Linked DNA regions of Oryzias latipes. The protein of the gene in region 1 purifies or fractionates together with the protein of each later gene. This does not show direct contact. Links are inferred from orthologs where the notes say so. Each region holds a gene or a part of one and is shown in the gene's direction. Other genes may lie near its edges.

Region 1 (3,649 bases):
TACTATTAACTATACTCTATTATCTGTTTTCTGTACATAAATTACTTACAAAACTCTCATTCAAGTAAAATAAAATACCCAAATAAAATAAAAATCAATAAGTAAATAAATCAATAATACATTTGTGTTTATTCAGTCTTCTATATCTACTGTTTTCTGATTTGAAATCTATATTTAATATTATTTATTGATTGAATTATTTTTCTCAGCATCAAATGGTTCAGTTGGTCAAAATGTTTCTAGTTTAATAATGACTGACAGATTTTTTTATTTTAGGCACTTTAAGCTTCTTTTCTGTTTTAGACTATAACAGGGTTTCTGTGTCTAAATAAAGTTAGTATTTGTTAAAGGTGGATTTATATTGATTTTTTTTTTCTTTTGTTAATGTTAAAAGATACAATTTTAGGTATACTTGCACATTTGTTTTTATACTAACTTATATATTGTAGCCATGGCGAGTATGTGTGTGTGTGTGTGTGTGGGGGGGGGGGGGGGGGGCAGTTTCTTTTTCCTAAGGGGGGGGCCTTGTAAAACATAATTAAGAAGCACTGGGTTACAGTGACAGCGTCTCTACGATGACCCGGCTCTATTAACTGTCATGAAACCCAACGAATGCACACACGAGTCTGTTTTAACAGTTTTCAAATCTTCTTGATGAAATCAGACGTAAACAGTTTGGTTCTCCTGTGTGATTAGTGTTTATCATTCACAGCCAGACATTCTGGTGTTTGGTCCTCGTCATGTTTCTAACTGAAACAGTTTTCTAATATCTGTAATCCAGGAGAAATTCAGCTTCACTTTTGAAAAATCTGAAGAGTTGATCTTAAATACAAAAAATAACAAAATTAACAGGATTAAGACTAAATTGGAAAACCGACAACAGGCATGTTGTGATCATAACATTTAATAAATAAATAAATCACTGTTTAGAAATATTGTTCTCATTTGGTTTTTGTGAGGTTACATAAAATTGCTTGTTAATAAACTGGAAGGAAAAACAACTACCTGGACACATTTTCAACCAATGTAGTTGAAAATTATTATTGAAAACTCACAACTTTCTTAATATTTAGGAAAAACAGCTGCAACATCCAGCTTTTTCTGCCTCAATGATTACAGAAAATCCAGTGGAGATCTTGGAGGGACTGTACATCAATACAGACTATAGAGTTTCTCCTTATTTAATTTTTGGATGATGTTGTGCCGCGGGATTTTTGTCAAGGATAAAGTGAACCTTGACTCAAAAAAGGTTAAAAAACACTGACCTAGTCTAAACCAAAATTTGTCATTGTGGCGTCCTCTTTGCCATGTCTCGCTCTATAATGCCCCAGCAATAAGGAGGGGCTTTTAAGTTTGACAGTCCTGCTGAACAAATGTGACACTTAACCTCCGAAACATTGAAGGATTCATCAAAAATAAGAGGGTAAAATGGAAGTGTTCTGCTAGATCAAGCGGAAAAATAGAGGAACAGGAAAAAAAAATATAAACCAAAAACACTATTATTAAATAAATCCACAAACTCAACTGAAACACCACATTCAACAAGTAAAGACTCAGTAAAATAAAACACCAAACACAGGTGGGCGGGGAAAATGGCTGGAAGCTGCGCTATCTGAGGCATCAAAAATGGATTTTTTTTCCTACTCTGTTAAACTCACCGCTGGATTGGTTTAACACCCGAGTGACAGAAATGTAACCGAGAAGATCCGGTCATTTTTCAAAATAAAAGATGGCTTAAACCAGTGTTTTTCAACCTTTTTTGAGCCAAGGTTCACTTTATCCTTGACAAAAATCCCGCGGCACAACATCATCCAAAAATTAAATAAGGAGAAACTCTATAGTCTGTATTGATCTAGAGTCCCTCCAAGATCTCACGTGCATTTTTGTGATAATTGTGGCAGAAAAATCTGAAAGTTGCAGCTGTTTTTTCTAAACGATGCAATAAAAGTTAAGTTAGTTTTACGTAATAATTTTCATCTGAATTATTTGACATTTTACCCTGGTAGTTGTTTTACCCTCCAGTTTATTAACTGTAATTTTTGAAAAATTATATGATCACGACATGTTTGATCAAATTTACACCAAAAGACTGACATTTGTTTTCTGTAGCTACACAAAAAGTGAACATGTTGAAGTTTTATTAGTATTTACCGAGCTTTAGCTGGTATTTTTGGTGGAACTGAGAGACTTTGAGCAGAATCTGAACAAGGAAGTGAAGACATGAACCACTTCTGATTGGTCAGACTGATGACGTATGATTAGGGGTCCAAGAATGATTGGCAGAGACAGTTAAAGGGGGGGGGATTTTCCAAAAACAGAGGTGAAGCTACGGCTAAATCGCGGTACCGTCATTCTTATCAAAATGTTTTTAATATAATCAAATAAACAGAAAAAAGTATTTTATGATCTTTCATATTCCTAACTACTCAGTGTTTTATCAGGGCCTGTTTGGATGAACACAGAGCTGATATCCTGGAGATGGAAAATGTTTTTAGATCAGTTAATGAGGATTATTTCCCACGGCACACTAATGTGCTGCGGCACACTGGTTGAAAAACACTGGCTTAGACTCATTATAAAACTAGCTAAAACCCGCTTAAAGCAAAATTACTCTACAGTATCAAAATCAAACCCACCCAATTGGGTAGAAAACCACAGAATCTGGCAACACTGCTGGTCGACGCGTTTCCTGTGTCCACCAACCACAGCCGCTGTGACGCAGCGACTCAGTGGTGTATCGGTCACGTGACTTCTCCTGGAGCGATGCGTGCACAGACACGGTTTCACTCTGTGAGCTCGACACGTGAGGCGGTGTTGCTGACACATGTGGAACGTTGTGATGTGGCCGTTCTTACCTTAGGAGTGTGTGCAGGAAAGATCCACCGGCCACAGCTGGGCTGAAGATCTGCTGCTGTTGGCTCATTTCCACATCCATCAGATAAAAGGAAGATTGGTAGCTGTCTCGCCCCTTGTGGTCAGTTGTTGGCCTTGATTGCGTTCGTCTTTTTTCAGGAGATGAAGATGATGAAGACGAGGAGGACGAGGACATTGTGTGCTCTATATGTCAGGAGGAAGTGTCCGAGGAACCCAATGAGATTGTCATTTGTGACAATTGTGGACAAGGTCAGTTGAGAAACTCTGTGAAGGAGCCAGTTTACTGTTCAGAAGCTGAAAGCAGCTCCAGGATCCTCATGATGGATGGGCGGGGCTTTAGTGACGTGTCAGAAACGTAAAGACGCTGCCTGTCTCTCAGGATACCACCAGCTGTGTCACGACCCCGTCATCGACGCTGCAGTCATCGACTCTGATGACGAGTGGCTCTGCTCGGACTGTGAACATGCATCTCTATCGAAGGTTTGGTCTTCTGAATGGATGCAGCCTTTCCTCTTTATAGGACGCATTTAAAGATGTCCGTCTGTTTGCAGAAGAGGAGTTCACTCAAGAGGAGGGCGTCGGCCACGAAGCACGACGCCGAAGCACAGCAGCACACGGAGCTGCAGCTCTCCTTCCCCTACGCCCTGGACAAGCTGGTGTGGGACCAGGGCCACAAGACTAACCTCCAGCAGTGTTACTGCTACTGCGGCGATCCGGGAGAGTGAGTGAGCCTCCACAGAGCACGGTTCTGCCTCAGGAGATGCTGAGCGTGTGT
Region 2 (4,194 bases), on another chromosome or scaffold:
ATTGCTTTAGTTGTAGTTTTTATCAGCTGCTTTAGAAACCTTTTCCTCACCAAGTTTTTGCTCCAGATACTAGAAATGTCTTGTTCCAAATCTGAAGAAACCAGTTGCAATAGAAAGTTCAAAAATCAACAACATCACAAGTTTTAAAAACTGATAATGTCTTCACTTCCTAAATTCAGTTTGTTGTCTTTTGACAGTTCATTATCAGCATGTTGCTAGCAACGGCCTACACTGCTTCTAAATTGCCAAGCGTGCTTTGTTGACTGAAATATGACCACTTTCACAAACCAAAAGCATAAATAATACCCCAAGCGGGTGTGGTGTAACAGTTCAGAGCAGAGAAAAGAAACACAATGTGTTATGTGATGTTAAAAATTGTTGTCTTAATGCATGAGGAGTTAGAAAAGTAAAATTATTCCATGACTGGCAGCAGAAGAGTGCCATCTTGTGTCTCATAGAAGTATTGTCTCAAAATTCGGACGTTTATGAACTTTTATCTCCCAAAATGAAGAAAATAAAATAAATGCACAGAGATTATTTATAATTTATAAAAACCTCCACAGAAGTGATAAAATCCTGGAACAAGATATGATGATGTGTTTTTGGTTGAAATTCTGATTTTTAATGTATGTAAGGTTGAATAAACGATGTGCATTAGTTTGGCTTCAAACATTAAAACCTTTACATGCTATGACAGGAGTCTTTTGTTGAAAATCAAATCATAAACATTTACAAATGAAATAGATCCAAGCACTGCAACAAAACGTTAGACCTGTTATTATTTTTGACTGTTGGAAATGTGATTTAATTAAACTATACCACGCCATTTTACTCGTAGAGTATATAAGGTATTTGAGACAATTTTAGAAAAAGAAAAATAAACAGGTCATTAAATATAATAAGATTGGGCTCCCCCTGCCGGAGAAATGTAAAACAGCAGCTAAATATTTAGACAGGTCCAAAGGAATGTTAGAAAACTGGAGGCTGGTTACCAATTAAGTCTTACCTGAAACTCTCACTTACAGATATTTGTATTCTGAAATGAAAGAAAGACTATTTATATTTGGTTAAAACAGTTTTTGCATTTTTTTTTTTTTGTTTTTTGATCGATTGTTATTTCTATTATAGCCACACAGCCCTATAAATTACACTTTGACCTTTTTTAATTGCTTAATTGTAGATACTGAAATAGATGCTGTATTTCCATTTTAGTTTTTCTATTTTTCACCTTGGTCAAAGAAGAGGGGTCATTCATTCAGATGGTACTTCAAGCAGTTGCATCAGTTCCTGTGCGTGTGCGTAATGGCTGTGCCGTTGCTGCTCCACGCTACTTTTTATTCCTAGGGCGCAGAATAGACATAAATCCCAGCTCCGCTTGGAAGCGCTCTGGTCGCAGTAAAGACGTCACCCTCGTGCTCGGGTTGGTTCAACCAAAGTGCGCAGCTATTTGTACGCTCCAACAACAACCTCCAGCACCATGCGTTTGGATAACGTGCTGCTTTCACGGAGATCCTCTCGCCTTCTGGACTCGATATTTTCGTCTAATCCATAGCACAAACGATTTTTTTTCCTTCTTTTTTTTTTTCTTCCCAACGCCGGGATTTGATCGCGTTGCACCAAAATCGGACGTGGATTTTAAAGGTGTGTGACTGCGACACTGGACGTGGGGATCTGGACGCACACACGCGCGTGTGCAGGAAAACCTTCATTGTAGAGGAGTCAGTGCGCAAGTCTTAAAAGTGTTCTGGGTTTAAATGGACACGGTAGTGCGCCACGGTGCTGTGGCTGCACCCTCAGGACGAAGCCCCGCTGCGTATCTGTGGTGGAAACGTGTTTACGCGTGAAAATCAGACCCACGGCGACAATTTCTGAGCTCCATTTTCATATGCTATTCATCTGTCACTGTGTTCAGCTTGTATCTTTGGGGAAAATGTTTGCAGGCGGTTATGAAACACTAAAAAACAGCGCTACGCACTTTTCTGCTCCGCCGAGGCACGCCCACTCTTTAGAAATGTGGGCTAAAAAACCACGGACTTCGTGCTTGCACGCATGCCTGGACTGTTGGCTTTTTTCCGCGTGTTTCACTATTATTATTTTACCCCAAGTATGGCTATAATCATGGGGTAACCTTGAGATTTTAAAGCACCCTTCAAAAGGGCTTTTTACCAGTAGATGGCAATTTTGTTTTGCGAACAGAGGGGGGCGCTGTTTTGCAAAAACCTGCAGCAGTGGCTTATGGGAAAGTGCAAGTGTTCTGTTTTTTTTAAAACCGCCTTCAGGCTTTGAAGATGGAGGAATATTTATAAAAATGAGCTAAAATGGAAAAATACATAAAAATATTTTTTATAAGAAGCTGGTAACAGTTTGCTTTAACACATTCTTTATGGCAGAATTGTGAGTTGACCTTTGACTCATTTGTTTTGCCAGAGTTTGTCCTGCAGTCATGGAGGAAACAGCACATCCTGCCCCTGGTACCAGTGTTGCCCCATCTCAGCCAAGGCCTCCGCCCTGCACTTTTGCCCCGTCCCGCAGCCTGCTGGAGTGGAGGCGGAGGGTCAAGTCAGAGTATATGCGCCTGCGCCAATTAAAACGCCTTAAAAAAGCAGACGAGGTCAAGGTAGATTTAGAGTTGTGTCAGCATCTTCCATTTGAATACTAATAAAGTACTTTGTCCCTGTTTCTCATTCACTCAAACCTGTGTTTGGATTTCTACTGTTTTTATAGACCCTGTTCTCATCCAACCGGGAGAAGATTGAGCAGCAGACTACTGTCCTTAACTCAGAGTGGTCCACGCTTAAGATTCAGTCCATCCCGCTGTCTGTGTCTAATGTAGCACTGGCTAATAAGAAGGTGATGATGTTTAGAAACTGCCCATATATGAGGAATATTGCTCTAGGTTCTCCAAAATGACTGTTTTTCTGGGTTTTCTTTCAGATGTGTTCGGTGGAGTTTGGTTTCCCAGGATTCAAAGCTCAAGCCATCGCCATGAGGCCACTGTCAACAGTGGCAGGGATCCCATTCATGTACTCCTGGTCTCCCCTGCAGCACAATTTCATGGTATGTGAGTGGTGCAATAACTGGGGAGCAGTTTCAGTCATTTTAACTTACCTTGATAACAATGACTCTCTGATTGGGGTCAAATAAGGATCAGCTTAAACACCCACTCCAACAAAAATTGTCTTTTGGGTGCTTTTAACACGTTCATGTGGCATTTTTCTGAGGGCCACCGCTAGGGATTTTGTGCCCCATGAAAATCATTTTTTACAGGGCCTCTAACACAGTGGCAAATATTTTTTGATGCTGTTTCACATGCAATTATACATTATGAAGACATTTTTCACTATCATTGTCATCTTTGGGACAAAATAACATGACAACTGACATGTAAAGAATGGGAAGAACTGAGCAGTCTCAATACAATATTGAAAATTTAAGTTTCAAACTTGAATGAAAAGAAATATATAACTAAAAGCAACTGAAAAATAATATTTGTTTGTAACAGCTGCTTCATTAGAGGAGAGATGACACCGGCCGCGCCATCAACAGACGCTGTTTCGTAGTGGAAATTATGTTACCAGAATCTCTATCACCACATGTCAATCATGCTCCGGTAGCCAATGGGCTCAAAGCCCCACCCCCATGTCAAATAAGGCTTAATAAAAAGAATTGAGGACTGAAAGCAAAGACAGAGAGAAGCGAAAAAACAAAAGTTGAAAACACAAAACAGCATCTATTATAAACAAACATTTATCATTTGGTAACAGTTTTAGGTTCATAGTGTAGGTGCTTTTCTTTTATATTAAAAGTATAAATTTACTTTTTTTATTTTCAATATCTCCTTTAAGTTTTATATATATATATATATATAGAGAGAGAGAGAGAGAGGATTTACAATCCAATTTTTCATTAACTTTTAGCTGATCCAGATTTGATTGAAACTTTATTTTACCAGGAAATCCCTTGAGATAAAATTTCTTTTTTGAGAGAAACCTGTACAAGAGGCATTGGCACACACTCACACACAGCTCTGAGCCTTGCGTCCTTTTTTGTGTTTCTGAAGGTAGAGGATGAGACGTTCCTCCATAACATCCCTTACATGGGCGATGAGGTACTGGAACAGGACGAGGCTTTCCTGGAGGAGCTCATTGATAACTATGATGGTGTCCATGGTGACAGAGGTTTGTGTTCCGAAAC
Region 3 (4,408 bases), on another chromosome or scaffold:
ACATTTAAAAGGAGAAATTTGGCAAACTGTTCATGCACGTACTTATCTTGGCTGCTAATCCCACAACTGCATGTTCCTTACAATTGGGTTATCGTTTAGAAGAGAGACAAAGAGGCTTTTCAACAGTTTAACATTTAATTCCAAGCATTGCTGTAAAACATAACCCACCAAACACAATTGCTGGTACTTATGCATTAGCATTCCACCTCAAGAGGTTTTTCTACTTCTTATATTGCAGAGATTAAAAATAAAAACGGATTGAAATTGATTTGACCCGTTAGTATCCAGCGAATAGGGTTACCATTCCACCGCTACATTTGTTTGCCAGTTTCTGTTTTGACATTTTCAGTAAAATGTGAATTCGGAACTTCCTTACAATTTTGTGTCTGAATTCCTTCACTATTCAAGATCGAGTGGCCCAGAAACTTCCTAGAAGTATCTGTGAAAAACCAGTGTTCAAACGCAATGCATTGTGGTCTATATTTGCAATCCAGTGAGCATTAATCCACACTGGCAGAGACTTCTGGGAAGTTTGTAGGGCAATTGGTTTTGGAATTGTAGATTCGGACAGCACTACAAAATCTCGAACACAGTATATAGTGAGTATTGAAGAATTCGGACATAGCTCCATTTTTTTTTGGTGCTAAAAACGGCATTACCATAACAAAAGTCCACAGGCAGCGATCATGCAATAGACCAAAAGATGATCCGAGTGGAGCTTTAAGGTTCTGAAAGTCATGTAAATTTACGTAAGCTTGTATAGCACTTTTCTACCTTCCTCGATGGCCCAAAGCACTTTCCAGTCACAAACTCATTCACCCATTCACACACTGAACTCCATAGGCTCCAACCTTGCACCAGAGGCAAGGTAGGGTTCGGTGTCTTGCCCAAGGACACTACGACACATGGGCGGAAATTGTGTTTGGTGGGTTATGTTTTCCAGCAATGCTTGGAATTAAATGTTACACTGTTGAAAAGCCTCTTTGTCTCCCTTCTAAACGATAACCCAATTGTAAGGAACATGCAGTTGTGGGACACATGGGTGGGAATCAAACCTGCTATCCAAGGTCGACCACCCTACCACTGCACCATGGCCGCCCATGTAGCTACTGGTTGTTTGTATCCTTAAGCTTCCATTGGCTCTAGCCAGTCACAATTCAGAAGTAGTTCTCAGAATTGCTGGGGGCTGCATAATATTGATTTTGTGACAGAAGCCTGTGGGCCGGTGGCCGCACTTGGCCTATGGGTCGGACTTTGGACATGCTTGCTGTAGACAAAACACCCTTATGCAGAAATACCCACATTCCCTTACTTGCTGTGGTACATTTTTCAAACCAAAACACGAAATAGACTACATATAGAGATGGATTCTCCTTTTTCCATCCCATTTTTTAACAAACGCCCCACGGGGGAACGAAACAAGCGGCCAGCTCGCGAGGGCTGTCTCTCCGGGACTTTGAAGTTGCCGCTCCGCGCTCGTGCGCCTCCGTGATAGGCGGAGAGGCGGAGGCCGGGGAAGAAAGGAGCTGCTCTCAGTCAGCAGAGCAGTGCCGCTGGAGAGCTCTGTCGATGGTTGCGGGCTCCAGCCAGAAACACCGCGATTCCTAACGTTTTGTTTTTTTATTTTTCTCTTTTTATTTATTGCTTTCTCACGATGTCATACCGGGCAGGATGTGACTTGCTGACCTAACCTCGGCTATCTGCATGTTTTCGAGACGAGCGGGTGCGCAGAGTGGCCGAGCTGTTCGGGCGAATGGAAGTTATTGTTGTGCATTTGTTTTGACTATGTTACCCCCAAGTAAGTTTGGGTCCAGTCCGTCTCTGTCCGTCGTCGACTCTTGAATCGTGGGGATTTAGCTCCGACTTCTCCGAGGAGAGAACACCGCCGGAGGATTCCTGCAGCCTACGGCCAGCGAGCTTTTCCGACCGAGCCGGGGATTTAAATCGTCATTTGGCGGAGAGCTCCGGGAGAGGCGAGAGTCAAAAGAAAGAAGAAATTCATGTGGCCATTCTCTCTATAGCCAAACATTTTTTTTGGGTGGGATTGCATAATGAGCAAGGAAAGACCTAAGAGGAATATCATTCAAAAGAAATATGTAAGTAAACCCTCTTTTTTTCCTCCTAAATGCAGCTCCTGTATTCAAGTTCGCTCGGCTCGCCTCGATGAAAATGCACAAACTTTCATCGCGGGCTGTGAAGGTTACCGTCAGGCAGCTTTGTGGGGTTGTTTCCATTAAATGTGAGCTTTTGTCGGCGTGTCAGCGCGGATCTGGCCGTGAATTTAAAGGTGCAGCTCGTGTTTATTCTTCGATACCCCCCCACCCCCCCATGTTTTATGCTATCTGAACACGGGCTGCTTTTCGCTCGTTTCGACTCGGTTTTTTCACGCGCGACAGCGGGAGGCAACGCGTCTCCTGGGTCGTGTTTTGGGGGTCGTGGATGGAGAGCCGTGGTCAGACGGAGGGTCTCAGAAAACTGGGCTTTTGTTCGACCCCCTCGCTTCTTGCTACTCGAAGCAGCGCAGACGAGCCTGTCGGCCATAGCTCGGCTTCCATTTCGTCCCATGCTGAGCGTTTCATCTCGGCTTGTAACCGAGCTGCTGGAGGACTAGGTCGGCCAAATCAGAGGCGTTGTCGTATCTCTAAATGTGTATATAATTCACGTTTAGGGTGAAATAGGTGTCGTTTTTTGGTGGTGGTGGTGGGGGGGACTGACTGCATGCTGTGGCGGCTCTTTAATTTCCTCCATAAAGAGTGAGGCAGCGCAGAAGGGAAGGGGGGTTACGCGAATCCGCATTCTCACCCAATTTCTATCACGTTACACGACGAAGGTTACTTTCTTTTTGGGGTTTATATATGTTTTTAGCCTATTACCCTCTCGACCAGGTGACGGGCGACAGGCTGCCGGTATTTTAGCTGTGACCTCTGTGAAGGTGCCGCTCGGTGAGGGGGCAACTCCATTTTTTTCAGCACTAAGGCTAGCTTGCCAACCTTTTAGGTATCGACCTCAACGGCTGAATTCCTGCCGAACGGAACGCCGCTCGGTCGGCCTGTTTGAACGCGGTGCTCCTAAATGACCCAGTCTTCTCCCACTCCCCTCCTTTTTTTTTAAGAGTCTGTGTTCAGTCGCATTGCAGAGGCTTATGTATGTAGCGACCATTTTCTTTTTTGTCCGAGTATCGCTGAGTTTGATGGGAAGGGCTGCTCCATGCTCCTTTTTGGGGGTTCAAAAGTAGTTCGGCTAGTTTTAACCCGAGCCCACCGCATGACTCATACACGTATATATTATTATATATTTTTTGAAATTTCGGATCAGAGTCCGTGACTTTACACGAGAAGTTTATTGCACTTCTGATGTAATGATTGCTGACCCAAACGGACAACATGTATTGTTTAAAAAGCCCCATTAAGTCAGCAGAACTCAAAGACCCCCCCCCCCCCCCCCCCGCAGTGACCTCAACAAAACGACACGCGGAGTGGCTCATAAAGAAAATAGTTCCCCATGTGGGCGTTTAAAATCCACGAATAAAACCCCCCAAAACGAATTGAATTCTTATCCATAGATGCAAAAAAAAGATTTTTTTTCAGAGTATTTTAGTTTTATTGGTTCCTAATAGGAAGCTTGGTTGTATATTTTGTCTCAATTACCAGCAAGGACGACTCATGCAAATGCATCCTTATCTGCATTCCACTGATGATGATTTTACTTCTAACATGTTGGTGCCAGTTTACCTGCTTTTATTGATGGGAAACGGTCCATATCTGGGATTTTTGAAATGCCAGTGAAAGTAGCAGAGCAGTCATTTCTTTTAGTCATAGCACTGACTCAGCTGTGATCTTTTTCTGACCATGCAGTTTCATGTAGTGATGTTGCAACAAGAGGCCTCGCCTGCTCACATTTTTTCACCCAATCGGGCTGTTTTCTAGTAACTCTGGGCCGAGAAAGCAGGATGTTGTGGAAATAGTGACTCAATCAAATAAAAGTCCTGGTTTAGAATGGAGCCATGGACTTTCATGTTTTTTTTTTTTAGGAATAAACGTATAGCTTTTGGCGTCAAGTCCTAATTTGCCTAGTGTTGAGACTTAAAGTTGGCTAATTGTGCAGCTTAAGCACAGGAAACACATTTCAGTTCTGAATATATATGCATGTGTCACATCTGTCATGTGTTTTCAGCAGTTGCGGCTGATCCATTACGTCTGGTCCAGACCAAAATAAGCCTTTAAGAAAGTATTTTATTTTTATTTTTTACAACAACCCAGAGAAGTTCTGGTCCTCTTGTAAACCCTCCAGGCTTTGAGACATGACCCTTAGTGACCCCCTCCCCCTCCTTTACGGCCCCCTAATTAGCGTAAGACAATTAGACATGCTTGGCTCAACCATTTCCCCCCTGAAACATAAGTGTGAGTTG

Evidence for each region.
Region 2: the proteins of mtf2 (region 1) and ezh1 purify together in Homo sapiens (affinity purification with mass spectrometry; 3 studies listed by BioGRID and IntAct, with this or other methods). This does not show direct contact. The link is inferred for Oryzias latipes from reciprocal best matches to the Homo sapiens genes MTF2 and EZH1.
Region 3: the proteins of mtf2 (region 1) and jarid2 purify together in Homo sapiens (affinity purification with mass spectrometry; 3 studies listed by BioGRID and IntAct, with this or other methods). This does not show direct contact. The link is inferred for Oryzias latipes from reciprocal best matches to the Homo sapiens genes MTF2 and JARID2.

Annotation. Positions count from the first base shown.
Region 1 is NC_019875.2:5,984,734-5,988,382, forward strand, and holds part of mtf2 (metal-response element-binding transcription factor 2), read left to right. Parts: intron 1-3,012; coding exon 3,013-3,123; intron 3,124-3,253; coding exon 3,254-3,354; intron 3,355-3,425; coding exon 3,426-3,595; intron 3,596-3,649. UniProt on the Homo sapiens protein: Polycomb group (PcG) protein that specifically binds histone H3 trimethylated at 'Lys-36' (H3K36me3) and recruits the PRC2 complex, thus enhancing PRC2 H3K27me3 methylation activity.
Region 2 is NC_019866.2:6,666,070-6,670,263, forward strand, and holds the start of ezh1 (histone-lysine N-methyltransferase EZH1), read left to right. Parts: upstream 1-1,306; 5' UTR 1,307-1,641; intron 1,642-2,427; 5' UTR 2,428-2,443; coding exon 2,444-2,611; coding exon of another isoform or gene 2,612-2,617; intron 2,618-2,724; coding exon 2,725-2,850; intron 2,851-2,934; coding exon 2,935-3,057; intron 3,058-4,060; coding exon 4,061-4,178; intron 4,179-4,194.
Region 3 is NC_019869.2:23,831,823-23,836,230, reverse strand, and holds the start of jarid2 (protein Jumonji), read left to right. Parts: upstream 1-1,520; 5' UTR 1,521-2,051; coding exon 2,052-2,096; intron 2,097-4,408.